Linked DNA regions of Elephas maximus indicus. The protein of the gene in region 2 purifies or fractionates together with the protein of the main gene of each other region. This does not show direct contact. Links are inferred from orthologs where the notes say so. Each region holds a gene or a part of one and is shown on either strand. Other genes may lie near its edges.

The links.
Region 1: the proteins of ITGA2 (region 2) and ITGB1 purify together in Homo sapiens (co-immunoprecipitation; 3 studies listed by BioGRID and IntAct, with this or other methods). This does not show direct contact. The link is inferred for Elephas maximus indicus from reciprocal best matches to the Homo sapiens genes ITGA2 and ITGB1.

What each region holds. Positions count from the first base shown.
Region 1 is NC_064822.1:6,450,186-6,465,408, forward strand, and holds the start of ITGB1 (integrin beta-1), read right to left. Parts: upstream 5,706-15,223; coding exon 5,639-5,705; intron 4,735-5,638; coding exon 4,649-4,734; intron 2,388-4,648; coding exon 2,165-2,387; intron 1-2,164.
Region 2 is NC_064820.1:55,934,734-55,950,080, forward strand, and holds the start of ITGA2 (integrin alpha-2), read left to right. Parts: upstream 1-6,885; 5' UTR 6,886-7,039; coding exon 7,040-7,109; intron 7,110-15,347. UniProt on the Homo sapiens protein: Integrin alpha-2/beta-1 is a receptor for laminin, collagen, collagen C-propeptides, fibronectin and E-cadherin. It recognizes the proline-hydroxylated sequence G-F-P-G-E-R in collagen.

The DNA.
Region 1 (15,223 bases), on a different chromosome or scaffold from region 2:
TGAATGCCATATTTTTAACAAAAAACTGGGAACTCCATTCATAACTCTAATAGGCCCATTCAACTTCATTTAACAAGTACTTGTCATGCTAGACTCTGGGGATACAAGGTGAAAAAGACAGCATCCCCAGTCCACAGCAGGCAGGACAATAAACAATGTGAACACGAGAGAGGAACACAAACAGACTGAACCCCATAAATCAGAGGGGGGGAGAGTGGGGGCAAAGCCGGGTACATATCAGGTACACCTGTAATGTGAAGTCACTTTATGTAAGCAAATTAACATGACATTTTTTTACTTTAGAAAACTGGGCAAAAAGTTCTGGAAACGTATTACAGATACAGAAACAGCTACGAAACTACAGCAAAAATTCCAGAGGAAGATGTAGATGTGAACTGAAACAATGAGGAAGGAGAGGAGAGAAAAGACACGGAGATGTTAGGGATAACTCAGGAAATAACAAGAGAAAGAGAAGTTTTGGGTAGAAAATGACTAAATTTCAACCTGTCGTTTTTCTCTTTACAGATTTCTGGTAGGCAGCTGATAAATAGGTTTGGTGCTTAGGAGCAAAGTCTGTGCTACTGATAAAGATCTGTGAGTCATCAATACAAAAACTGTTTTTAAAGCCATGTAGAAAAACCAACATTAAAATGGACTACAGAAATGAGGGAATAAAAAAAGACACACAAAGGAGGCCGGAAAGCAAAGGTGAGATAAGAAGAAAAACTGAAAGTGGTATCATGGAAGCCAAGAGAAAAGCATTCAAAAAGTTCAGAGAGTCACTTGGTACACCAAGGTTAGGAGAAAAAGACCTTAATAAGGGTCTACTAGATTGGTGGTCCCAAAGTGATGGCAGAGCTTTGCCAGGACAGGTTTAGAAGAATGTGATGGTTAATTTTGCGTGTCAGCTTGGCCAGGTTATGCTGCTCAGTTGTTTGGTCAAACACTCGTCATGGGATTAAATCAGCTGGCCACAAGTAAAGTCGATGGCCCTTATAATGGTGGTGGACTTCATCCAATCAGATGAAGGTCTCAGGAGCGAAACAGGACATCTCCCCAGGGTGTATTCTGCCTCCAGGCTATAAAGAGACATAGTGCCAGAGCTCTTCCACTCTTTACTCTTCCCATCCCCTGACCGATGGATTTTGGAAAAGAAGACTGGAGTAACCTCCAGCCTGCTGCCGCCTGACTATAGGTTTGGGCTGCCAGCCCTCCTACCACCATAATCACATGAGCTAATTCCTTTATATATATATAGGTATACATATAAATATAGATATATCTATCTACCATACATCTATATGTGTCACTGGTTCTATTTCTCTAGAGAACCCTAAGACAGAGCGAAGCATGACTACAACAGGCTGAAGAATGGATGGGAAGTGATGACATGAAGACAAAGAGAGCACACCATTCTCCTGAGGAGCTGGAACACAAAGAGAAAGGGAGACGGTGGCAACTACAAAGGACAGAAAGAATTTTTTTTTTTTCTCTTTTTATAAAGATGAGAGACTGCCACAGATACTTATAAAAACCTTAATATTTTAACAATACTAAACAAATATAAAGTAGAAGACTTTATTAAAACATTGTCTTCATTTTATATTAAGTGAATATAAAATACCAGAGGATGGACACTTTCAAGTTATTTTTAAAAGTCATTAAATCTAATTAATTACTTTCTGAACCTGTGACAGAATTGATTTTGGACAACTAAAAACCAAATTTGCTGCTGGCAAGTCAATTCCAACTCACAGTGACCTACAGCACCACCAGGGTTCCCTCTGGACATCACCAAAAAAAAAAAAAAACACCATCGCCATGGAGCCGATTACAGCTCATAGCAACCCTACAGGATACAGAAGAACTGCCCCATAGAGTTTCCAAGAAACAGCTAGTGGATTTGAACGGTCAACCTTTTGGTTAGCAGCCAAGCTCTTAAGCACTGTACCACCAGGATGCCCTCTGGACATTAGGCAATATTTAATATTATTCCAAACAGACACAACACACATTGTTATATCTGCAAAAAATGTCTAAAATGTAACCTGCTCGATGTTTTAGGGTGCCAGCACACGTATGAAAATGAGAAGAGGCTAACATAAAGTTCGGATGAAAAAACTCAAGGAGAAATGAAAGTATTCATAGGGCTAGACTTCTGTACCTGATCGTAGCTGCAAAACCAACTGCTGTGGCTGGATCTGAGTAATATCTTCTGGCTGGAGCTTCTCTGCTGTTCCTTTGCTACGATTTGTTACATTTTTATTTTTCTTTATATTTTTGGAGCCTCTGGGATTTTCTATGTCATCTGGATGGCAACCCTTCTTTTTTAAGGCTTCTAAATCATCACATCGGGCAGAGGTAGGCATTCCCTCTTGTAAAAATGTCTAAATGACATAAAAAATACAGGTATAAATTAAAAAAGTGTAATGGTCAAAGATTTACATAACCATAATTTCAAAACAGAACAACACCGGGTGCATCTAATGTACCTCATTTCTTGTTATTAAACAAATACCCCGACATCCAAACCATAATGAGTACTCTTGTTTAAAAACAAACAAGATTCTTTCCTAGAAAGTAACAGCATTCCAGGACTGACCTAAGTGTACATTTTAACTGTCTACCTTCTAATTAAAAATATCTATCAAATGAAATTCTCCAGTGAAATCACTTATTCAACATAGTCAATGGCCACTAATTATATGCCCAAATATTAATATTTTTCCCAAAATGTCCCTTTGAAAAATCCTTATAAAGTCTCTCATATTGCACTCTTTATTTACAATATTATGAACAAGCCAATGTGTACGGAAAACACTTTAGCCTGAAAGCACATTACTAATGATGGTATTTTTAAAAGGAAACCAAAAAATGTAATACAGATTTTATTTCAGTAAGTATTCTCCTGGAATAGCATTGCCTATTACCATAAACAAGCATTTTAAGATTTATTTTGAAAAGCAATAGAGCCAAATAATTATAAGGCAAGGGTCGTGAACATATTTCCACAGGGTGATTTTAAAAAAAAAAAAGTCTTAATGGTATACAAGTGAATGGATACTTATGGCTTGGAGGCAGAATTTCAGTAATGACAGGAATTCAAAACGTGCTCTACTTCAAACTGAGATAAAAGCAAAAACGTTATCAGATGACTCAAAAAGTACCTTCATGAAAACAAAAGCACAGATGTAAAAGACATACGTAAAGGTTTTAAATAAAACGTTATCATGAAATTCGAGAGTGGGAAAAAAATGACATTAGTATTTATGTGTGTATACATGTATGTCATTTTAAAATATGTAAATATAAATCATAAAAGTATTATCAATAAATTATTATAAGTAGACATTTGACAACTATGTCACATATATCCCTAAAAATTATTTATTTAGTAGGCCAAAAACTTTTTCTAATGTTGACTTGGGGGAAATGGAGGATTGCCATTTATTTGGGATCACATTGTGTTCAGTCAAACATGGTGTTTATTACCTACCAGTTTCACAGTGCTGTATAAAGTAAGTATATTTAAATTAAAAAAAAATTTTTTTTTTAAGGGAAACAAACACTGATAAGAGCACATATGAAATTAGAGAAATAAATGGAAAGGAAAACCAAGGGCCAGATGGTTCAAACCCACGCTATCATCAAACCTAAGATACTACACCAAAGGAAACTAGTAAATTACACATTCCCAAATATGTGCCAATACAGGAAACTTTAAGATTATAATCAACACCTAAATAAAATTCCACTAAACATACTCCAAAATAGCATTCAATAATTTAAAAATTATGCCTCAAAGCATCAAAGGCTTAGTTATTTAGAGAATAACAGTGAATAAAATTCAAACCCTACCGTCACTGAGTTTATATTAGGATACAATCAATTCTGTGTTAGTTTACATCAAATATAATTGTGCAAGTTCATTTGTACCTTCCCCCCTCAAAAAAGGAGAAAAATCTATAGCAGTCTAAACCTAAAGGCCTAGTGTTTTACGGGAAGCAGTCCAATAAAAATATAATGCCAACCAAATGGACAAGCCACAGAAGTTAATGTAAAATTTTCTAGTAGTCACACTAAAAAGAAACAAGGGAAATTCACTTTAATAATGGATCTAAAGTATTATCATTTCAACACGTAATCACCTTAACAAAATTTAGTGAGCATTTTTATACTAAGTCTTCGAAATCTGGTATGTATTTGAGCCTTACAACATTCTTAGTGTAGACCATCCACACTTCAAGTGCTCACTAGACACATGTGACTGGTGGCTGCCAGGCTCAACACACAGCTCTAGACCACCACAGTCTTTCACACGTTAAAAAAACCCATTGCTGTCGAGTTGACCCCGACTCATGGTGACCCTATAGGACACAGAAGAACTGCCCACAGGGCTTCCAAAGCTGTCATCTTTACGGAAGCCGCCTACCACATCTTTCTCCTGCAGAGTAGCTGGTAGGTTTGAACCACCAACTTCTCAGCAGCTAAGGGCTTAATCACTGTACCACCAGAGCCTTATACTTTACACACAGATAACACTTATTCATTAAAGATTGTTTTAAATGAAAATTCCTATCTGCTACGTCCCAAGGACGTACTAAATTACTAGAGAAAACATAGTAAAGACTCAAACAATCTTACTTACTAAATTTGTACACCATCCACAATTTGGCCCTGCTTGTATACATTCTCCACATGATTTTGCATTTGCTTTTAAACATCTATTTTCATCTGTCAGGAAAAGAAATAACAGACACCTTTACTTGAAGCTTCAAGAGAGAAAATAATGAAAAATCAGGATCGCAAGGACAAACAATGCACCATATATGATTATCGAGTATGAAGCCTACAAGCCTAGTTACCAAGCTGATCCAGACCTACTCCCCAGAATGGGTGGGTCAGAGCAACTTTAAAGGGGTGATGATCACTGTCTGGGGACACTGGTAGAATCCTTCTTTCACTCAACACATATTTATTTGAAGCCTTTTTATGTGCCAGACATTATTCCAAGCACTGAGGATACAGCAGTAAAGAAAACTAACAGAAGTCTCTACCCTCGTGGAGCTTACAGTCTAGCAGGGGAGACAGACAAATAAACAAGATAAATAAGACACACTGCATGTTAGAAAGAGATAAATGGTAAGGAGAAAAAACAAAGCAGGGAAAGGGAAGTATGGGGAGGGGCAATCGACTATAAATACGATCGCCAGGGAAGGCCTGATTGAGAAGCTAACATTTGAGTCATGAGCTGAAGGAGGGACAGAATCATACAGATATCTGAGAGATCACCGCTTCAGGCTGAAGAGACACCCAAGGCCAAGGCTCTAAGCAAAAGGATGCCTGGTGCCTCTGAGCGAAAGCAAGGAAAGCCCAGGAGAAAATAAGAAAAGCCCAGGAGAGAATGAGAAATAAGGTGAGAGACCGGGTGGCAGCAGTTGCTGGCGGAGCCAGGCCGTGCAGGACCTTGTATGCCATTTTAAGGACTCTGCGTTTTACTCTGAGTGCGATGGGGCCAGTGTAGGGCTTTCAGAAGGAGCAGCATGATCTGACCTAGGTTTTCCCTGGAATATACTTGGTCAAAGAATGAGACAGGATACTGAAAACACAGCTATGAAACATTTTTTTTTTTTTTTACCTGTTTGGCTAAACACATAGCAAATTGAGCTAATCAGTCCAATCCAGAAAATCAGTTGTAAATTCATCTGAAATACAAAATGCACATCATTAATAAAACAAGATACATTAAATACAAAATGTTCCCAGCCACCCTGCCTGTTGATTTTATAAATATAATCTCTCTCAATACCTTCTTCTCCAGCACCCCTCCACAACCTCATCACCCACCTCCCCCGCCCAGCCCACTACCCTACCTGTTACCTACACAACTAAAATAACTTCCATAAGTCTCTGGGCTCCGTTCCTGCCTCTCTCCAGTCAAATATGTTTTAACATTTTATTAGCCACACTCCGAAAGAATAATAGTGTCAAGTATTCCCTAACACCATAAACGCCATCCAAGGTCTCGTCCCAGATAATCTCTATTATCTCCTGCAGCTCCCAGGGAGCCAGACAGGCATATCCAGACTCCTCAGTCGCTCCAAGGCTGAGTGCCAGCTTGAGTGAACTTTTCAAAAACTCCATCATGTCATCCTCCTGCTTGTAACAACGGGGTTTATCAGTGTTTATAGTGTGCACTACACTATACATATATACACACATATACACACACATACATAGGTACACATATATGTGTGTGTGTGTGTATATATGGGTCATATATATGGTACAACGTATAGCGTTCAGCAGCGTTAAGACCAACATCCTACACAAGGCCCTGACTCAATTTTTGAATTTGATGGCTTTCTTTAAGAAAAATCAACTTCTGTGCATGGAATTAATTAGTCAAAGATTCGGTTCAAGTCCCTACATTTTCTAGATCCACAAACTAGACCCACGAAAAGTTCATAAAAGGACCCTGAATGTATCGAGTCCCTTTCAGAATCTCTAAAGAAAAATTAATAAGTCTATATAGTTTTGATTTAGTGATTTATATTTGATTCTGAATATTTGAAAATGGTGTAATCTATAATAGTAATAATCAGAATATTCTATCAAGCAGAATGCCCAACCATTACGTACACAACTCTTTTCTGTGAATTCAAGAGTTCACAATGTCAATAAGCTATGCTTTAGGAGATTTGGTCAGAGACGGCTCTAGCCCCTGGTTGCTGAAACTGTGGCTATCATCTGACTACTGCACTGGGACTAGCAGCCAGCCTGAGAATTTGTCATAAATATCTGTCCCTCCCACAAGAAAAAAATACAAGAAAGAAGCACATATATATATATATAGGTATATGTGTATGTGTATGTGTGGGATAGCAAAGGGTAAAATTTTAGCTTTACTAGTTACCAAAGAAATATAAAACAAAGCAATAAAAGATAAACTGCTGGAAAAAATGTTTTTTTTACCCATTAAAACCATCACTGCAGAGAAGGCTGAGAAAAATCAATATGCATGGCTGGCAGCTTTGTAAACATATAATTTGGGGGGAAATAATTCAACAACCTATATCAAAAACTATAAAAAATGTTTCTACCCCATGACTTAGCAATCCAGCTACTGAGGAAATAATTTAAAATACAAAAGATAATTAAAAAACAAAAAACAGGCTTTTTAGACTGGTCGAGACTGGAGGACTCCTTGAGACTACTGCCCAGAGATACTCTTCAAACCCTGAACCGAAACTAACCTCTGAGGTCACCTTGTAGCTAAGTAACAGATTGGCTCAAAAAATAGTGAATATCACCCGTAAGTAATATGCTCCTTTAAAAAACTCACCTGTATGAGACCAAACGGTCAACAACTACTTTAAAACAAAGATGAGAGTGTAAAAGGGCAGGGAAACTAGACTAATGGAAACAGAACCACCAGAATGGAAATATAATGAGAATGTTCACGCACTGTGAAGAATGTAACCAATGTCACTGAACAACATGTGTAGAAATTGTTGGATGGGAACCCAAACTGCTGTGTAAACCTTCACAAAAACACAATAAAATACGATTTATAAAAATACAAAAGGAGATATACACATACACCCACAGACACACGAATGTTCAATGTAGTACTATATGGTATATTTACAACAGGAAGAAATGGAAACATCCTATACCCAGTAACAGGGGAACAGCTAAGTGTATCAGCCTGATGAACTATTAGGCAATCATAAAAGTAATAAAACGCAGCATCATTAAAATAATAATTCTGGATGTAAAGTACACATTATGATGACAGCTATGTAAAAACAAAAGTATACAAACATATACTGCAACCACGGAGACCTGAGAATGACAAAGAATTATAAAAAAAAAACCAAACCCACTGCCATCCAGTCAATACCAACTCACAGCAACCCTATAGGACAGAGTAGAGCTGCCCCATATAGTTTCCAAGGAGCGGATGGTTGATTCAAACTGTGGACCTTCTGGTTAGCAGTCAAACTCTTAACCACTGTGCCACCAGAGTTTCCTATATACATAAAATGTATACGCAAAGTGTTTTTCTTGTTTTTAATTTTCTTTTTTTCTTCTCTTTGCTTTCTCAATGTAAATAATTATGGCCTGTGTGGTACTCTTTTTTTCTTGGTAAACTTCCCTTAGCAAGAAGAAGTTAACTGAATTCTACCTTAATTTAAAAAATGAGTATTTCTTTTAAAGGCCTCCATCTCAGGGGCACAAATACCAGGATGCTAGTTCCACAGCCACAGTCCTTTAAGTTGTGCTTCAGGGCACCCCTGGGGTACTTGCTTTCCTCTGTTAAATGCTGGTTTCCAGGGCACAAGAATGACTCGCATAGTCATCCACTTTGCAATCCTGAGCAGATCAGCCAGTCCTGTTAAGCCACAAGCTGACAATTTTGCTTACATTTCAGTGGTGACTCCATCCAAGAGACCAACAAAAGCTGAGTGTCACAAAAGTGAGAAATACCTAGCTATTAACCTTTTAAGGCCTGCCTAAAAGGTTTAAGATGCAATAAATCCATGTGGACTATAATTCTAGGCAATTCAGATGTTTTCAATTCCAAAGCTCTGACTGAAAGGACTAAAAAGACATGGAACGCTGAGGAAAGGCATCACCGTGATGAATGCAGCATCTGAACAGCTTCCACACAAAGTGAACAGAACAAACATCTGCTCCATGTATGGGCTGATGCATGCTTCTTTAGGATACTATTCAGGCTACTTTAATGAAACTAACCTGCCTTAAAAAACCCTTCACAATGTCATACAATTTAGAGAATTACCACTAAAATAAAGTTTTCAAATACTCTGAAGCTATCTAGCTTTAAAACGTTGCTTTAAATGCCATTGCCCTTTTCCTTCTATAAGCTTTGGCAAGTTGAAGATGGGCTCTGTGAAATGCTCATGCCTCTGGAAGAGCTCCAAACCCAGAAGCAGCAAGAAAAGGCCTTCGCGGTGAAGAACAGCTGAGAGTAACATGGAAAACAGCTGGGAACAGCTTAAGAGTTCAACTCTCTACTTTGGTCAGCTCACTGGCCAGAAACAGAGAGGCATTGTCACTGGCTGGTGTTGTCTATAAAAGGCCGGACTTTCTCTCAGGGAAATGGAGAAGCCACAGAAGACGGTAATTAGGAACAAAGAAGAACCATGGGACAATGAGGCTTGGAGGACACCACAGAAGTGGCCATGAGGGAAGCAAGCAGCAGACAGCCGGATGGTAAAAAAGAAATGACTAAGACGACAAAACAGCCTCCCCTAACGGATCCTGGTAATCTGCGAAGATACTGAATATTCCTCCTGCACCTGCGTGAGGAAGTGGAAGAAGAAGCAGGCGGTAACAGCCTCCTTATTTCGAAAGCGCCTAAGGAGGCACTTCTGGAAGTGTGGTCTAAGGAATAACTGCATCAGATTTACCCGGGAAGGAAGCCCACCTCAGACCTAAAAAATCACAATCCCTGCAGGTGCGGCCTGGAGTCCTGCACTTCTAGCACTCCTGGCAGTTCCTACGCTGAGAAACTATGCCCTAAGGAGTTCCCACAAATGGCGCTTCTCAACAACAGCTCATCTTGAGGGGCAAGAGGGAGAGACGCCTTTCCTGCTATTGTCCTAGTCCTGTCTTTCCTCTCCTCTTTATAACCAAAGGTCTGGAAATAGTTGCCTACATTGGTTGTCTCCACTTCCTAACCTCCTACTCACTCCTTCACCATCTATAATTGGTGTCCAATCTCTACCATGCATGTGAACCTGTTCTTGCAAATGAACACTTTCCAGGCTTTATCTCAAGCTCTGCATTTACTCCCTTCTTCAAAAGTTTCTTGACTGCCTACAATATACTTGGAATACATCCACCCACAGGATTTACACAAGACATTTAATACTATTCATCATTCTTTCTTCACATACTCTATTCCCTTAGGTTCTACCCGTCCCTCCCTCCCCGGCCCCCCATCTCTCTGGAAGTTCTTCCTCAGTCTACTTTGTCAGGTTTTGTGCCAGATCTGGAAAAACAAAGATCCCTGCTTCAAGAACTTTCAGTTCAGTTCAAAGACAAACATACAAGTAATTACAATAGGATGTGACAGCTTCCGAGATGAAGGTATGGACAAAGTGCACTGAGGACACCTAAACCTGCCTGGGAGTCTTCAAAGGCTTGATGGAAATGGTGGTGTTTCAACTAGAAGCGAAGAGAAGTAGGACACGCCTGGCAGGAAGCCAGGTGGTGAGAAGCTACTCCAGGCAAAAGGTGTGCATATGCAAAGCCAAGGAATCCGGAGAAGAACTATAGGAACTTCTTTCTAATCTTATTCCTAAACAGGTATGTCTGGGTGCTGCCACCCCAAATCGGAATTCTCTCTCTTGCCTTCTTTCTTTGCAGAAGAAAAAGAGTAGAAAAAAAATTTTTTTAATATTATTTGTAGTTATATCTGATTGGTGGGATTGTAAATAGGAGTATTTCACCCTGATAATTTTCTAGCATAACAGAGTATTTTAGAATACTAAAAGACTAAAGAATCTTAAAAGTACTTGAATTGAAAATCACAAGAACTGAGATTAGCAGGGAGAGGGGTTAGGTTACAGAGAGCCTTAAATGCCATCCATGCTGAAGAGTTAAGACTTTGAAAAACTTCAGGCAGGGTAATCACATGACTGCATATACAGGGCAGAATACCTACTGCTGTAGAGGAAGGGTGGCAAGACAGAAGCTAGGGAACAGGTACAGAATTTACTGCAAAGGTTCAAGTAAGAGGTGACAAGCACCGGAATTCACATACTGGCAATGGACAAGAAGACAAGTATTTAAGAGACAGAAATGTGGGTTACAATAATTTACAAATTAAAATACTATGACAAAATATGTAAAGGCTTGGTTGGACAACCAAAAGGCAAGAACGAAATCGGCATTTTTCAAGTTGAAAAAATTGAAGAGAAAATCCAAGGCTCGAGTTGCAATACTGAGGGAGTCTACAGGTATAAACTGAACGATGCAGGAAGCACCAAAAGAAGATGGAAGGAACACAGAGTCACTGTACCGAAAAGAAATGGTACATATTCAACCATTTCAGGAGGTAGCATATGATCAAGAACCACCGGTCCTGAAGGAAGAAGTTTAAGCTGCACTGAAGGCATGAGCAAAAAACAAAGCTCCAGGAATTGACGGAATACCAGTTGAGATGCTTCAACAAACAAATGCAACACTGGAGGTGCTTAGTTGTCTATGTCAAGAAATCTGAAAGACACCTACCCTGGCCTATGGACTGGAAGAGATTCAAAGAAAGGCAATCAAACGAAATGCAGAAATTATTAGACAATATTATTAACAGCACATGCTAGAAAATTTGGCTGACGATAATTCATAAACAACTGTAGCTGTACACTGACGGGCAACTGGCAAAAGTTCAAGCCAGATTCAGAAGAGGACATGAAAAGAGAGATATCACTGCCGATGTCGAACAGATCTTGGCCGAAAGCAGAGAATATGAGAAAGATGTTTAACTGTGTTTTATTGACTACATGATGACATTCAACTGTGTGGATCATAACAAATTATGGATAACATTGAAAGAATAGGAATTTCAGAACACTTGTGCTCATGCAAAATTTGTACATGGATCAAGAAGCAGTCAAACAGAACAAGGGGATACTGTGTGGTTCAAAATTAGAAAAGGTATGCGGCAGACATGTATCCTTTCATCATACTTATTCTGTGCTCTAGACAAAGAATCCACAAAGCCAAACTATATGAAAAACGGTACAGTATCAGGGTTGGAGGAAGACTCGTTAACAACCTGCGATATGTGGATGACAAAACTATGCCTGCCAAAAATGAAGACGACTTGAAGCACTTACTGATGAGGATCAAAGACTACATACAGCCTTCAGTACTGAACGTGAAGAAAATGAAAAATTCTCATGAGAGGACCAATAAAGAGCATCATGATCAACGGAGAAGAAACTGAAGTTGTCATGATTTCATGCTACTTGGATCAACAGTCAACATCCATGGAGGTAAAAGTCAAGAAATGAAATGACATATTGCATTGGGCAAATCTGCTGCAAAAGATTTCTTTAAAGTATTAAAAAGCAAAGACGTCACTGTGATGACTGATCTACAGCTAACCCAAGCCGTGGGCTTTTCAATCGCCTTAAATGCATGTGGGTGTCGACAATGAAAACAGAGAAGAAAAATCTGTTTGAGTTGTAGTGTTGGTCAAGAATACAGAACATACCGTGGAATGCCAAAAGAACAAACAAATCAGTCTTAGAAGAAATACAACCAGAATGTTCCTTAGAAGCGAGGTTGGCAAGATTTTGGCTTGCTTACTTTGGACACGTCATCAGGAAAAGCCAATTGCTAGGAAAAGGATGGCATTTGTGATGAAGTGGAGGGCCAAAAAAAATGAAGGAAACCTCCAATGAGATAGGCCCAGCAGCCACCATAATGGAATCAAACATACCAAAGACCGTGACGATGACACAGGCCCAGGCAGTGTTTTGTTCTGATGTACACAGTCACCGTGAGTCAGAGCTGACTCAACAGCAACCAACAAGGAATGTGGGATCTGATGGTCGCTTTGGATAGGGAGGGTGAGAGAAAGAAAGGAACCTAGACCAACCATCACTGTCAAATAGGGAACACACAGGGAGGAGAATGATGAGTTTCATTTTAGAAATGTCGAGTATAAAATGTCTGTGTGAAATCTAGGGAAGATACCTACTGGGAAGTTAAGACCTATGGGTCTGGATCTCAAGGGACAGGCCACGGTTAGAATTACAGACATGCAGGGAGGTTTTCATTACATAGGTGGTAATGAATTTATGAAAATGGATGAGGTTGTGAGGAAAAGAACATTTTGTAAGAGAAGGCAAGAGAGCTAAGGACAGACTTGAAGAGGTAAAGACACAGGGAAGACAGAATGTAACTGATAAAGCCAGGCCTCCTCAGAGCAAACAGGGAATTGGCATTCAGAGTAAAAGGGGTGTGCAGCCTGAATAGGAGGTGAGCATCTTTTCCCTAAGGCGGGGGCGTCTGCAAAAACCTTAGAGTCCACGCGTGAGATGCGACAGGATTATAGAACAATGACGACCCCCAGGCAGGTACTGGATCCTTAACAGAGGCACTGCTGTAACACTCACCTCACTTGTAACTATGTTTATTATCTTCCCTGATGGGTTCTAGGCTCCAAGAGGACAAACCTGGCTACAGTACCTAGAAGTTCTTGACACAAAGAAGATGTTCAAAAGTTTTTGCTGAACTATATTAAATTATGTTTTCTCTTACATTATTCAGAACTCCAAAGAAGTTTTCAGAATTAATGTGCAAATGCTCTTTAAGACAGAAGTTACTGTAGATAACTTATCTAGTGATAATTTCAAATTATATTAAGCATATACAAAGCCAACTTAAGGCTAGACATAAAATGCCTTGTGCTCATGGCTCTTGAAGATCAAAAAACCAAAATTAAATTACAAATTAGGTACAAACACAGGCGTTAAAACTCTAACTACTCGCGTATGTGACCAACAACCAGATAATACACGTTTCTTTACATTTCATCATCAACATGAAGGTGCAAATTAAAAAAGAAAAATCTTGCAGAAATGCTCCAATAGTTGAGAGTGCCTCAGGCTCCACTTTGAAATCAGGGCAGGAATCTACTGCTTTGCAGGGCAGGTGCAGGAGGAAGAAAGGGAGGGCAAAGACATGGTGCTAAAAAAAGTAACCAAAAAGAGGAAATTTCAAAGGACTAGTGGTCACGATGGGCAGGTGAGAGAAGAGGAGATGCTGTAAACAAAAGAGTGAAAGGAGTTGGAGACTAAGACCTTCTAGAGTTTAAAATTTCAGAGACATGCAGTCCTGGATGAAAAAAAGGTCCAGGCGAGGATACGGCAATAGGTTGTTGTTTTAGTCTGGGTTCTTTCCCAAAGCAGAACCTCAGACGAGGACTTGTGTGCAGGCAGCTTATTTGGAAGACGACCCCAGGCAAAGAGAGGGACTAAAGAGACTGGACCACAAAGAGAAGACGAAAACACAAGGATACTTATTCACTATAGCAGGTGCCTGGGGACTTATCTTGCTAGGGACTTTGAGTGTGCAGGAAATATGTCCGTGGGTAGAAGTACGTGTCCAAGGAGAAGTATATTCATCAACTCCAGTCCCTCACAGGCAAAGGCTGCCCAAGGGACATTAACCACGCCCACACTTTTGAGGTCTACAGTACATTTATTTGCCCAGAAGACTACTGTCAGCTTCTCACACCATGGACAGATTGGAGGGCTTATTGGAAAAGCCCCAGGAAAGAAAGCAAAAGACTGAGGCACTTGAGACAAGATGCAGTCAGCTGGAGTAAGTCAGAGAAATGTCTCATCAGTGGTGACTGGAATCAGAGGGCAGGCCAAGAGAATGTGAGGAGGACAGGAGAGGTTTCTGGGACCCGTGATCACGGGCGACTGGAATAAACTGCTGGACCAGGGTGAGAAGCCTCATCTGCATGAACTCTCGAGGCCCCTAATTATGGTCAGATTTGGGGAAGAAAGACTACACTACACATACAGACACAAATATATATATTAAAGTGAATATAATTAACCTTATTTAAAAGATTTGGCATTTAAGACACAGTAGCTCTTGCCTATCTACTTAGACTTTTTTTTTTTTAGCTCTTGCCTATCTACTTAGACATATGTGGCTAACTTGCTTTTTAACTGTCATCTCCTTGAAGTAACTTCTTTGTATGCTCTGTATCAAGCACAGTGTCGTAGTGTTTAATAAATGAAGAAACTAATGATAAAGATAACTGGAAATATTCTGACACAGTAAGCTTCACAAGGGCAGGAAATCTGTTGCGCTCACCACTGTACACCAATGCACAGCACAGAATTAAGAGCACGGACTGTGGGGCCAGAATGCCTGAATTCAAATCCCCACTCAACCACTAACTAGGTGGGTGACACTGACAAGTTATCTAATCTGAGTCTCAGTTTACTCATCTGTAAAATGGAGACAGTAGTATTTACCTTATAGAGCTTTTGTGGCTTTGTGTACTTACCTTCTGAGGTTTTGTGAAGTTTAAATAAATTGATATGCATAAAGCATTTAGAACGTCTCACACACTGAAAGCACTACCTGAGTGTTGCCTGTTGTTATCATTATCATTATTAACACTACAGTTGGAGCTCAATAAGAACTGATTAAATGA
Region 2 (15,347 bases):
TTGAAAAGCAAAGATGTCAATCTGAGGACAAAGGTGCACCTGCCCCAAGCCAAAGTATTTTCAATAGCCTCATATACATGCAAGACTGGACAATGAATAACGCAGCTGGATGAAGAATTGATGCCTTTGAATTGTGGTATTGGCAAAGAATACTGAATATATCATGAACTGCCAGAAGAAAGAACAAATCTCTCTTAGAAGAAGTATAGCTGGAATATTCCTTAGAAGCAAAGATGGTGAGAATTTGTCTCACTTACCTTGGACGTGTTATCAGGAGGTACCAGTCCCTGGAGAAGGACATTATGCTAGGTAAAGTAGAGGGTCAGCAAAAAAGAGGGAGACCCTCAATGAGATGGATTGACACAGTGGCTTCAACAATGAGCTCAAGTATAACAACGATTGTGAGGATGGTGCAGGACCTGACAGTATTTCATTCTGTTGTACATAGGGCCACAAAGAGTTAGAGCCTACTCAACGGCACCTGACAACAATAACAGCAACATCTGGTACATCTAGATTTTCCAGAGAGAGCAAAGAAGATAGTCACATAGCTGACTTGGTTCATCATATGACACATTTCTTTAAATAAATAAAAAAAAAAATCTGTAGTACATATGAATGATATTTCCCTTTCATTGAGCTTTTCTATGTTTTAAGAGATAAACTTCTTTTCTCTTGGCAAATGTGCTTACTAATTAGTGAAACCTCTAATTAGTGGAGCATCTACTTTGTGTCGCACCCTGCTTTAGGTATTGTGAGTAAAACAAGTTAATGAGACATGTTCACTGTCATTAAGGATATTCTATAAGAGAAACATATATACCTTAAAGGTACACTAGTACAGGGAATATTAAAAAAATAAACCCACTCTAATTAGTTTTAGAGAAAACTAGAAACTATTAGGAGGATACAGGGGAATTTCGTGGAACTAAATGTAGAAAGGGCAGCCAGGTCTCACAAGTGACTGGAAACAAAAAATAGAAAGAATTGAAGAACTAAAGCTATCCCAATCATCCTCTCTCTTTTTCCCTCTCTTTCCACCAACATTTCTTTGATCTCTCATCTCCCTTTTCTATGAATAGCTGTAGATTGACTTTTTTTTATGCTCATGGGAGAAAATGGTTGCCTCAGTCAATATGAATTCCTAGTCTGTGTCACCAACAAAGACTCTGGAATCTCTATACCTTGAATACAAATTCCTAGGAAAGAAAATTGGTTGGTCCAGCTTGAGTCAGGTGTCTAACCATGCTACTAGGAGGCAAGATTACTTGACTCAAAGATGTCTAGAGAGAAATCATGGCAGACTCTGAAAAAGACCCACGGGCAGAGCAGGCAGATTGCTTTGCATGTTTGCCACATACACGAAAACAAATAAGGGACAGTCAACCCTGGTAGTGCTAGGATAGTTTGAATAAAATGCCGCAGGTGTGTTGATGAGAAAAAAAAAACCAGCTCCATATAGGGAGCTAGGAATATAGAATTATTTTATATTTGTGTATTTTTTTTTTTGTATTTTTCTTTCTCACTTGGAAGTGTCACTTTTATTTTTGTACATCAAGCAATTCAGCCAGTGCCTGGAGACCTGTAGGTCAATCAAGCACAATGGGCTCTGAGCCTCCCTCTGACTTGTCACGGACTCATGGGGTAACATTTCAATTTTTCCAGGACTTACATAGAATTTTACATTCACTGCCCTTTTTAGGCCTAGAGAAAAGAATATGGACACTTTAGGAAATTCTGTTCAATTTGGTAACTATTTGGCGCTTATTATTTGCCAGGCATAGAACTACTGTGATATAAATATTAAAAAGACACAGATAGGATTTAAGGGGTCTGGCATTTAAGCGGAAAGGTAAAGGATGCACATATAATTAAACTCAAGTCACACCGTAATACACACAACAAGAATATTATTTAAAAAATTAGGAAGTCAGGAAAGAGGAATAATTGGTTATGAATGAGGGGGGCAGGAAAGGCTGGGCAGATGATGTAAGTTTGACTAGAGTCTTCAAGTGGAATTTTAAGAAATGGAAAAATGGGGGAAAGCAATTCTAGCCAGAAAAAAATAGCTAGGGCACGAACGAGGAAGAATGAGAGAGGTACATCAGTGAATAGGTGAGTTTAGCATAAACATAGTGTCTTAGGCTGGGTTCTCTAAAGAAACAAAAGCAGTGAAGTATATATAGAGAGAGAGAGAAAGAGAGCGCTTTTCCACTGTCTCTTGTCGACTACAGATATAGTTGATTTGATTCCTGTGCATTCCATCTGGCAAGGTCCACATATATAAAAAAAAAAAAGTCACCATTTATGTTGGGGAAAAAAGGTATTTGCAATGAAGTCGTTGGTCTCGCACAGTTCTATCATGCAATCTCTGGCATCCTTTCTATCACCAAGGCTGCATTTTCCAACTACCAATTCTTCTTCTTTGTCGGAATACAAACTGAGATGCTTCAACAAACAGATGTAGCTCTGGAGGTGCTCATTCATCTATGCCAAGAAATTTGGAAGACAGCAGTCTGGCCAACTGACTGGAAGAGATCCATCTTAATGCCTATTCCCAAGAAAGGTGATCCAATCAAATGCAGAAATTATCAAACAATATCATTAATATCACAGGCAAGTAAAACAATGCTGAAGATCATTCAAAAATGGCTGCAGCAGTGTATTGAGAGAGAACTGCCAAAAATTCAAGCCAGATTCAGAAGAGGACCTGGAACCAGGGATATCTTTGCTGGTGTCAGATGGATCCTGGCTGAAAGCAGAGAATACCAGAAAGATGTTTACCTTTGTTTTATTGACTATGGAAAGGCATTTGACTGTGTGGATCATAACAAATCATGGATAACATTAAGAAGAATGGGAACGCTTAATTGTGCTCACGAGGAACCTGTACATAGATCAAGAGCCAGTTGTTCCTACAGAACAAGGTTATACTGCATGGTTTAAAGTCAGGAAAGATGTGTGTCATGGTTGTATCCTTTCACCATATCTATTCAATCTTTATGCTGCACAATAGTCTGAGAAGCTGGACTATATGAAAAAGAATGGGACGTCAGGGTTGGAGAAAGACTCATTAACAACCTGCAATATGCAGATGATACAACCTTGCTTGCTGAAAGTGAAGATAACTTGAAGCACTTACTGATGAAGATCAAAGACCACAGTCTTCAGTATGAACTACACCTCAACATAAGGAAAACAAAAATTCTCACAACTGGACCAATAAGTAACATCATGATAAACAGAGAAAAGATTGAAGTTGTCAAGGGTTTCATTTTACTTGGATCCACAATCAATGCCAAGGAAGCAGCAGTCAAGAAATCAAACAATGCATTGGATTGGGCAAATCTGCTGCAAAAGACCTCTTTAAAGTGTTGAAAGGTAAAAATGTCACCTTGAAGACTAAGGTGCTCTTGACCCAAGCCATGGTGTTTTCAATCACCTCATATGCATGCGAAAGCTGGACACTGAATAAGGAAGAACAAAGAAGAGTTGATATCTTTGAATTGTGGTGTTGGTGAAGAATATTGAATATCCATGGACTGCCAAAAGAACGAACAAATCTGTCTTGGAAGAAGTACAACCAGAATGCTCATGATATCAGGAGGGATCAGTCCTTGGAGAAAGATCTCATGCTTGGTAAAGTACAGCGTCAGTGATAAAAGGAAGGCCCTCAAGGAGATGGATTGACACAGTGGCTACAACAATCGGCTCAAGTGTTACAACACTTGTGAGGATGGCACAGGACCAGGCAGTGTTTAGTTCTGTTGTACATAGGGTTGCTATGAGTCGGAACTGACTCGACAGCTCCTAACGACAAGAAGAGAGAGAGGGTTTATATCAAGGAAATAGCTCATGCTGTTGTGGAGACTGGGAAATCCCAAGTCCTGGGTCAAGCTGGAGACTTCTGACTGACACAGCTGCAGGGGCTGGTGAACCCAAGATTGACAGGTAAGCTGCTAGCTCAAGTCCGAAGAACTAAAGGTCAGATGCAGGATCCCGAGTGAGCAAAAGCCAGAGAGCTTTGCCAGAAAGTCCACATATATTGGATGCAGGCTACAATCCCAGGGAAACTTCCTTTCAATTGATTGGCTGCTTATAGTAGATCTCATCACAGAGGTGATTACATTATATCAGATCTCATTATAGAGGTAATTACATCATTACAAAGCTGCTGAGCTACCTCATAACTGCCAATCCACTGAGAATCATGGCCTAGCCAAGCTGCTACACAACCTTAACCATCACGAATAGTGTGCAAGAGGGAGGGATGGTGAGAGATGAGACTGCAAAGGTGGGTTGGGGTCCAACTGAGAGCTTGAAAAGCTAAGGTGCTTGGTATTTATCCTGTAGACATCAAAAGATTTTCTACAGCTCAGTTCTGCATTTGAGAAGGATAGCTGTGATGCCAGTGTAAAGGGTAGATTGGAGAAGGGAGAGGAAGGAGCATGGAGATTTTATCCAGGGGACTGTCATAATGGCAAAAGATCAAAAGATCCTGAACTAAAAAGAGTAGCAAGAGAATGGAAAATAGGAGATGGTGCAGATAGCTCTGGTAGAGGAAAATAGAATTGATGTGATGTGGTGGCAGAGTGGCATGATGGTGGCCACAAGGGAGAGAAGCAAAGATGTCTGGTGGAGAGCAGCTAACAACAACAACGTACATGAAAATGAGATGACCAAAAAAGAGCAGGGCATGAGGATAAGAGAGCTCAGAAGGGAGCCTTGGAGAAAAACTCACATGATCCTCCTCCCCCAACAAAACTCCTGCCTAGAGGTAAGAGAAGGAAGAGTAGAAAGAACACAGGCTGCACTCTGTCCCTTGGTGGCTCTCAGAGTATGGTCCCTGGGTGTCTCCAAGACCTTTTTAGGCTAACATGTAGTGGGTTTATTATTGTTATTTAAGAATGAATTAATACAGAGATATTTGAAAAAATTCTCTATTTTAATGTCTTGAATAGTAAACATTGATAGATACATGAACAAAATTGTTTGGGTTCCTCAAAAATTTTAAGCATATAAAGGGATCCTGAGAATAAAGAGTTCGAGAAGCCTTGCTTTAGCTTTCCTTATTGCCTCTTCAGAATGTGCTGTCTAGCACAATTACACATAGGCAGGGTATTTCTTAAGAAAACTACAGCAGGGGTTCTCAAACTCTTTGGTCTTAGGAACCTTAGCACTCTTAAAAATTAATGTGAAAGAGGAGTTTGTGCTTTATTTCTTGGAATGTTTGCCTGTTCTGGAAAATATAGCTCCTGATTTATTCTGCACCCCATGCCAGCATAACATTAATTTGTCCCATTCTGAGCACAGAAGCAAAGCCGGGTGAATTTTCCTCTCCAGCGCCCAGAGACAAAGCACAAATTCCTGCCTCACATTAAGGGAACTATCCTGCCTCCCAAGCAAGAGACTGTTCCAAACACTTACTCACATTTCAGTGAGTCAGAAGGAAACAGACAGATATTCATCTCCCTGAAACCTGGCTGACTTCCTGCAAGAAGTCTGTGGAGAGAGTCAAGGTTGTGTGTCAGGGTTTGTGGGCGGTCACCTAAAAGCTCTCAGGTGATATCGGAGTCTTAGTAAGCAGGTGAATATCACAGACAACTCAGGAAAAAATGCCTTCAGGTGTTTGTCAGGATTAGTAAGTAATTACTAAGTGACAGATAAGAAAACAGGAAAGAACCTGGGGCTGCACATTTTGGGGTTCAAAGGAGTGGAGCTTACATTCATGCCTATAAGCAGTAGTGTCTGATAAATACTAATTTAATATTTAAAAAATACAAGATGCCAGCCCTAGTTACGATTAAGAGGACTGTTCTATTTTTACCAATTAACTCATTTTTTAAGCTTTTCCTTTCTGAACTATTCAGCTTCCTTTGGAAGTTTCCCAGGCATCCTCTTCTCCTAATAGTGGGTGCTCCATAAAACCTGCATTGACAATAGTAATGATTAAACTAACAACTCTAATTTATTAAAACTTTTGAATACTTCACAAAAGTGGTCCCTGGAAGAATTCTGGTTTCCCCAATTTGCTGGGAATTTGTGGGTGAACTTTCAGAAGAATAATCATATTTAGAGAAGAAAAGTGCATATCCCATTTCTTAGGTTTGTAAGTAAAAAATCTGAGATGTGGCTATAGAACGTTCTCTTTGATTACACTGTCTTATAAGCAAAGAGGAAGAACCACGAGTTCATATTTTTAAGAAAATCGCTTAAACTCAATTATCAAATCAGCTCCTTATTTATCTCAGGGAGAGGAATGAATGAGGATTTATAAGCCACACACATACAAACACACTGCGCACTTGCAGAAGGTCTAGCTTAAACACCACCTCCGATAATCATAACTTGGGTACAGATCTTCTTTCCTGATGAGTTAGTTTCTAACCTGGTCATTCTGTGCTTATTTTTGTCTGTTTCTCCACCCACTTTGGAAGCACAGAGAAAGCCATGCACTGAGCAGCAACTAAGAACTGCCTTGGGTACTTGCGGATCCCCAGCCCCTCCGGTGCCAGCCAGGAGCCTGGAACAGCGATGGGTTGCTGCGGGGCCAGGACTCTCCTGAGAGACCCGAAGAGCCTCCAGCGAGGTGCATCACTCTGTCAGGGGGCGGGATAGTAACAGGGCTGGTTCTCGCCATCACATGTGCCTGGCCAGTTCTGTCCAGGAAAGGCTGCCCCGCGCGCGGTCTCCATCCCCACCCACCTGCTTCCTGGATCCCAGGGCTGTACAAAGTCAGGCAGTTAAGATACGGCTGCCGGGGGTTTGGAGGGACAAGGTGCAGCCCGCTGGTCCGGAGGGTGGGGGATCCTCGGGGCGGGGCGGGGCAGATCCGGTGTTTGCCCAGGCGGGAGGGCTGGCCGGGGCGGGCCGGGGCGGGCCTTCGAGCCCCAGGAGCTGCCTGCAACTTTTTCCTGCTCTCACCCTGGCCGGGAAAGTCCTCCGCACGGCTTCTGGAGGGTCTCGGGGTTCTTGTATCCCTCGACTAAGGCGACCCTCTGCAAGCCCAGCTCACCTACAGTCCCCAGGGCCGAGCGGCATGCGACCAGGACGCGCGGAGAGCGAGCTGCTGCGGCTGCGGCTGCGGCTGGTACTAATGTTCAGTCAAGGTAAGCGCGAAGGCTCGCTGGGCATCCGCTGCAAGGAGTGTGGAGGAGAGGGGGGATGTGAAGAAGGGATTATGGGGCGCAGGGAATCAAGCAGAGTAGCCTCCGTTCTGATCCACGTGGAACCAGGCTCACACCCGTCCCGAGCCAGCTGGAGAGACGCCCATTCTTGCTTGCACTGGATCCAAAGTCTCCTCAAAGAGCTCTTTAGTTTTACACACATGCGCGCACACGCACACACCTGGAGGAAGTGGGGGTCATGGGGTGTCCTGGAGACCGCGAGTCCTGCACCCCAACTTTCCCGGGCTTTGGACAGGTGCAGCGCTTGACCAGGACTGGAGGTTGTGGGTCCCCGGGGTTCCAGTCTGGTCGGCCCCTTCATTCCATAGTTTCCCAGAGCTATGCCAGGTGGCTTGCCAGGAAGACTGGGAGCTCAACACGCTTATTTTCCGAGGTCTTTCCCAAAGGAATGAATAATCTCCCAGTTTTTACTTCAGGACGCAGTGCTGCTGTTTGCTCCCACAGGGGACTTAGAAAATCCAAGCGCCACTTAACCACTTGGCAGAGGAGAATTCTTCCTTCCCTTCTGCCTTCCTCTTATTGTTGTAACGTTGTCTGTTCAAGGAATGTAAACTTGGGAAAGGAAAAGTTCTTTCCACTTTCTTGAGCACAGACGCTGCAGCAAGAGGGGGAAGGGCCAACTACCCAGAGCAGAAGTTTCAACTGCCTGTGGTGGGAGTGGGGCCCACCTGCCGCCTGAGTTCTTTTGCACTAAGTGGAAAAATGAGACTGAGTGTTGAGCTGCTGTGCAGACCTTCCACAGTACTTTCTCCAAGACATTCACCTGGAGCCTAATGTGCACTTGGAGCGCCGGTGGCTTAGTGGTTAAGAGCGCCACTGCTAAATGTTGGCTGTTAGAATCCACCAGCCGCTCCTTAAAAACTCTGTGAGGCAGTTCTACTTTGTCCCATAGGGTTGCTATGAGTCTCAGTGGACTGATGGCAAAGGTTTTCTCTTTTTTTTAGTTTGTACTTAAGTTTTAGAATTTTAGTTTACTTGCCGGGGGCGGAGGGGCGGGGGCAGGGCCACATTTGTATCTTGCAGTTTGGAAGAAGTACAACCAGAACGCTCCTTAGAAGGGAGGATGGTGAGGCTTCTCTCAGGTACTTTAGACATGTTATTAGGAGGAACCAGTCTCTGGAGAAGGACATCATGCCTGGAAAAGTAGAGGGTCAGGGAAAGAGAGGAAGACCCTCAGTGAGAAGGATTGACACAATGGCTGCAACAATGAGTTCAAATATAGCAACTATTGTGAGGATGGCCAGGTCAGGGCAGTGTGTCTTCTGTTGTACATACCAGTCCCTGTGAGTAGCAACCTCCTCCACAGCACCAGATAACAACAGCAACAGTTTGAACATATACCTAAAAAAAAAAAAAAAAAAAGTTTTCTGTTTTTGCAAGTTCTGTAAATATTTACCAAGAATATAAATATTTCCTAATCCGTTCTCCTTTGAGGCTGACATTCAGCAGGCACTATCTTTATTGTGGAAGAAAACCCAGTTCAGGTCCTGTGACATTTTCTCTAGGTCAGAAATATGAAGAAATATGACACACAGCCCTAGCAGAGAATGGAACCTGTTCATTAGGTTTTCTGGCCCACCACGTTTGGTGTTTCACAGATACACTTTCCTGGGACTACATTCCATATGCGTGTGGTTGGGAGTTTATATGCAAATATACCTGCATGAATCCTTTGGTTATTCTTGGACAATGTTCGTATTAAAGTTTGGTTTTGTTATTCTTGAATTTAGCATCTTCATTATTCTCTCTTTTTTTCTCTCTGTTCATGCACGATTACCTGGTTATTTAGCCAGATTTCTTTAATGAGTCGTGTGCAGATGAGAAGCAATGGAAGAACTGAGTCAAAGGCAGGATGGCAAGGGATGAAAACCAGGCAACCAGAAAAAAATAAGATGACAGGTTCTCACTGTTCCCTGGGTTATGATCTATAGAAAATCACACTGAGATTATATAGGCCTGAAGGTTAAATTTGACATTTTACGTACCCAAATGTCAATTTCTATGTTACTCAGTTTTATTGAAGGGCAGTGTGTTGAGATGGCTTTCAGGAGAAGATGGAGAGAATCTCTCTGATGGAACCGACTCTGGTCTTCTCCTAAACACTAGAAGAAGTACATATAGGAGTTTTTTTTTTTTTTTTTTTTCTGAGGGGGGGATAGGGGAGGGCATTAACGCCAACCTAGGGATTTTGGATAAAGTTGGATTTTACGTTGAAAACCAGTCCCTGGAAGATCACAACCTTCCCAAGGGCAAATAGAAATATAAATCCAAGCTTTTCATCTCCCTTTAATTACCCAGTATTAGGAGAAGCCATGGAAACATAACATCATTTTCTTATCTTTGAAGTGTTGAGGCTTGTTCCTTAAAGAGCACTGAGAAATGCTTGAGTGGAAAGTGTTGCTGCAAGGCATGAAGTCAGGTAGAGAGACTTGAAGCTAGAGTGAGTTATGAAGGACAGCTCAAGGCACGCAAGCAGAGCTGATTTAAAATGATGTCTGTACAAATATTTTGTGTCTTTATTTCCTCCTTCTCCTCCAGGTATTTGTATACTCAAAGAACAGACTTTCTCTTCATTTTAAGATGACCACAATAAAGGTTTGTGACTTATGACATCAATCAAGGTCTTAGGGCAGCAGCATCATTTTTTTTTATGACATGATCATTCAAGGGTAACATAAATAATTGATATCTTTTATGGTATAACCCTAAAACTGAAATTTTTTATGGTATAACCCTAAAACCAAACCAAACCCGTTGCCATTGAGTTGATTGCGATTCATAGCGGACTGTATAGAACAGAGTAGAACTGCCCCATAGAGCTCCCAAGGAGCAGTTGGTGGATTCAAACTGCTGATCTTTTGGTTAGCAGCTGAGCTCTTAACCCAGGTGCCACCAGGACTCTGGTATAATCCTATCTGTATAATATTTATGAGCATTCATCATCCCTGTACACAAACACAGAAACTATAAACCCAAACCAAACCCACTGCCGTTGAGTCGATTCCGACTCATAGCGACCCTATAGGGCAGAGTAGAACTGCCGCATAGAGTTTCCAAGGAGCACCTGGTGGATTTGAACTGCTGACCTCTTGGTTAGCAGCCATAGCACTTAACCCCTACACCACCAGAGTTTCCTGCATAAACTATGTATAATTTACATGTATAATTGCATAATATAAACCCATACCAAAAACTAAAATTTAAAGGGTGTATGTGCATGTGTTTATACATGTTGCATTCTCTTCAGCCTGCATGCAAACCACCTTAGAAGCACATAACCCTCAAATTTTATTTTAGCACTTAGATTCAAATCTGTTTTCCATCAGCTTTCTTGCAGGTGTTTGTGAAAATGCGGCGCTCATAATTTAGTTCATCATTTATCATCTTTCATTGATTATTCTTGTTTTAAATGCTGACAATCACTGAAATGGTAACCGGGCAGGTTGAAGTTGGAAAAGAGAGACCATAAGAGGCCTGTTGTTGTCATTAGGTGCCATCGAGTCGATTCCTACCTCTAGCGACCCTGTAGGACAGAGTAGAACTGCCCCATAGGGTTTCCAAGGAGCTGCTGGTGAATTTGAATTGCCAACCTTTTGATTAGCAGCCGAGCTCTTAACTACTAGGCCGCCAGGGCTCTGTAAGAGGCCTAAATGAACTGTAAACAAAATAATAGCTGCATAGAGCAAAGGTAAATGTAATTTTAAAATACATGAAGTTACTTATATTCTCCAGTGTTTTTGGCAGGCCAAGGATAATCCTACCTGGGTTCTGGATCTCATTTTTTTTTTTTTCCCTATCTTTGGTACTCTATCAGCTATCTCCTCTTTGGTGTATAGCTTCAAATTCTCTCTCTAGTGTAAGTTTCTCTCATCATGTAAATATTTTAATTTCTCTTGTATATATGTATTTTTAAAAAGGCCTTTTTAATTTGGAAACTCTTTCCTTCTGAAACACCCCCACCCCTTGCTTCTGTTCTTTCTCAGTTGTCCTACTTTCCTGACTGTTCTGTCTCCTTCACAGGCTCATCTGATTGGCCTTTTCCTAGTTGGTGTTTGTAGAAACCCATGTTGGGTCGTCTTATTCATTCCACTGATTCTCTCTGGGCCTGTCCCCCTCTCAAGTTTGTACCTCCATCCAAACTCCTCTCTTGGGTCCCAGATCAGTATTTCCATCTGCTACCAAATATCTCCACCTAGATGTCTTATAAGCACCTCCAACTCAACAATTTAAACACTGAATTTAACACCTGTCCACTGAAAGTGTCTCCTAAATGGTCTTCTATTGTTTAATGGCAGTATCATCATGTAAATGTCAAGCTGGGACTGTGTCTCTTCTTTTCAGTTTCACAGCCAATCTCCAAATTCTATGCCTTCTGTTCCCCAACCTATGCATTTCTGCTACCACACAGCTCAGTCCCGCAGTTTTTTGTGTCTGCATCATCACCATTTTTAAACTGGTTTTTCTGTTTTCAGTTGCATACCTCTCTAGCTCATTCTTCTCACTGTCACTGATGTTATCTTTCTAAAGCACTTATCTGTATCCAATTACTTCCTTGTTTCAAATGTTTGATGGCTCCCATCTCCTGTAAACTCCAAATTTCTTGGCATGTTACAAAAACTCCTTTGCCATCTGGCCACAGTCTGCCTATTCAGGCCCTTCTCTGTCACACCCACTTCACATGCACACATGCACATACCACACAAACATACATATGTACATACCACATCCCAAAGCCATACATAAAACCAATCTATGTTTTGACTATGCTTGATCATATCATATTTAATGTTCAAAGATTTTCCAGGCCATTCCCTTTATCTTCACTGCCTTGATGTTTTGTTTTTTCCCTTCTCTGCATTTCAGTAAACAGTAATGAATATTAGAATCATGACCTTCCAATGGTCTTGCCTAAGAGGATCTTTAGGTTTCACTGATCAGCCCAGCTTTGTATAGAGACAAGATGCCAGTTATGCTGGGGAATATGTGTGTGTTGGGTGGTGAGCGTTGGGGAAGAGGAGAAAAAGACAGAAAGAAAGCAATAAGAAGAGCAGAGTCAGGACTTCAAGTTTATTATATCGCATACAAAACATACATGTTCAGGTTTTCGCCTGAACCCAGGTAGCACGTTTAGAAGACTAATCCATCCGTTTCCAACCAACCATTGTCCATTGTTAGAGGAAACAAGCCCAGGCAAAATTATAAAGTAGGGAAGTTTTCCTTTTGTAACAAAAGGGGAAGCTTGAGGTAACCTCTCATTTCTGGAACTCTTCATAAACCACTTCTGGCTTCTCACCCTCAGCCCTCAATGGGCTCAGGTGAAATTATGACAAGGTAACCCCCTCCCCCCATGGCTTTCCAGCTGCACCTGTCCAACTTCAGCTAAGCTTTGCTCTCTTTAATACTAGTTAACAAGACGCTATTTGAGTTAAATTCATTGAATAGGGCTCAGGATTTAGCATTTAAAAACAGTTGCTCAGGAAGTTTTGAATACAGCAAGGTTTGGAAGTACTTGCTTAAATATGCTCACTGTCCCCGCCCCCTTTCCTCACAAATGAAAATTCCAGAGTTTCCAGTACTACCTTGTTGTGAGATGACGACCAAGACAGGTAGATTTCAACACCAAGAGTCCGTGAATGGGTTATTTTAAATGAATTAAGTCTGAAGTGGGTGATGACTGCTCCCACTTTAATGTGCTAACAGCTCTGGGCATTTTAAAGGGGAGAAGCTTGGTAATGTTAAGGGGATGAACTTCTAATGATGGCATTTAAGACATTCAGCAAATTAAAGACACACTCAGTGTGTTAAAAACAAAGAATTTCGGGAAGAATGGGGAAGATATTTGGAATCAAAAGTATCATCCTGGCATCATCTAAATGCTACTACTAAAGTGACAGGGCCCAGACTACCAGACCTGCTTAGCTTGGAATATTATTGAAAGATTTAGCCCGGCATAAAAGAGGAGGAACCTTGCAAAGTTGTCACTCAAATCAGCAAGTCAAAGGTGTGGAGGTTTTTGTTTTGTTAGTTATATGGTGACCAGTGATTTACCTGGAAGAACATAGAGAAGAATTTTGATACCACAAATCCTGAGACAATAATAGATTTGGTATGTGAAAGTGAGTTCCGTGCCCTTTCTGATGATCCGTAGGTACTAGTGCTTTGTTGAGCTGGCTACAGTGAACTCCACAAAACTAGTATTTATCATATCCTTAAAAAAAAAAAAAAAAAAAATTTTTTTTTTTTTTATAAAGCATTTACTTTATGTAAGGGGATGTGCTAGACCCATTGTACAATCAGAACAAAACATCGTTCAAAGGTTGTCATATATTTGGAAACAAGTCCAAACACGAGAATGAAAATTGTCTAAGCCCTGGAGGATACCTAACCAATTTCAGTCCCTGCCTTTCTGTCAGAACTCCAATTACTTAGTTAACACCTTTGGCACAGCTAGGAGATCAGGGGGAAGGTGAGAGGTGGACCATGATTGGTCTGAGCCTATCACAGAGGTCCTGTGCTTCTTGCCGGTGTGTGATTTAGATACAGGATGTAACGCAGTTTTAGCCAGTGAGATTCAGGGGAGATCTTCTGGGAGAATTCTGGGAAAGGAATTTTCATTCCTAAGAGAGACACTGGTTAAGAAACATTGTCAGGTCTAGATGTGAAGCTTGGAAGAGCTACAGCATCTTGCAACCATGTTGTCAGCTAACTTGAGTATAAAGCCAATGTATTGGGGACGGCCTAGTGAAAAGATGGAAAGAAAGTTAGTCTTTGATGTTGACTTTAGGCTACTAAATTATTGAAATTTAAACCCTTTGTACCTCTGGGTGTCTGTATAGTTTAAGACATAGTTAAGCTGTGTTTCAGAACTTAGAGATGTAATTTAAGTTCCTGTAACATGATATATGTCATGTAAACCAGTACCAGTTGCTGTCAAGTTGATTTTGACTCAGAGCAACCCCATACGTGTCAGAGCAGGACTGTGCTCCACAGGGTTAGATGTCTGTGGTCTTTCAGAAGTAGGTCACCAGGCCTTTCTTCTGAGATTCCTCTGGATGGACTAGAGCTGCTAACCTTTCAGTTCGTAGCCAAATGCTTAACTGTTTGGGCCACTAATTGCTAGATGAGTTGTACAGAACTAAGTGTTGAGTTCAGAGGACAGATAAATATCACTATGGCACATCAAAGTGTGAAGATTGTGGGGAGGATAAAGGATCATGACAATTCAGATCTGGTCTGTAGGACTTCACAGGTCACTGAGTCCATTCCTCTCCTTTTAAAATGGCTGTGACTGATAATATGGTAAAACAAGATAGAAAATAACATAACTAGGAGTAGGACCCAAGTCTCTTAGTTCCTGGGTCAGGAGTTTTAGGATTGGAAATGAAATTTATCATGATGAAAGCAGAAGGTCATTATGCCCAGAACATCCTGCTCAAAGTGTTTGTGGCAAAAATGAAAACGGATAAGTGAACAGGCACCAGACCATAAAGGGCCTTGTAAAGCATGGTAAGGAGTGTGGATTTTATCCTGAAGACAGTGGAAGGTTTTGAAGGCCCTTAAGAAGGGGAGTGACATGATCAGATTTGCCCCTTTGGCATGTCAACTTTGGTGGCAGGAAGGAGGGTGGAGTGAATGGAGTCCAGACTGAAGGCAAAAAGACCATTTAGGAAAGAGCTGCTTTTAGTGTTAGTTTTTGTTTAGTATGCCAGTTGAGAGATGGTTGTGATAAAAACTCAGATAGTGGTAGTAGTGAAAGAGATAAGAAGACAGGTTTGAAAGATAATAAGAAAGAAGAATGAACAGGACTTGGTGATTGATTTACTTGGTGGCAGTGGGAGAGGGAGACCAGGCTGACACCTACATAGGTTTGTGATATGGACAACTCAATTAAAATGGTGCCATTTACTGAGGGAGGAGGGCTGAAAATGGGCATGTTGGAGGAGAAACATGATCAGTTCAGTTCTGGACAAGCAGAATTTGAGACGTTCAGGTGTAGAGCTCTAGTTAGTAGATATATATATTGTTGTTAGGAACGGGAGAGTGATCTAGGTGGGGACAGAGGTTTAGGAGTCAGCAAATTGAGATTAATTGAAGACATGGTGTTGATAAGTCAGGCAAACAGACTAGAAGAGGGTTTTGGCCACAGCACAAGGAACGCGT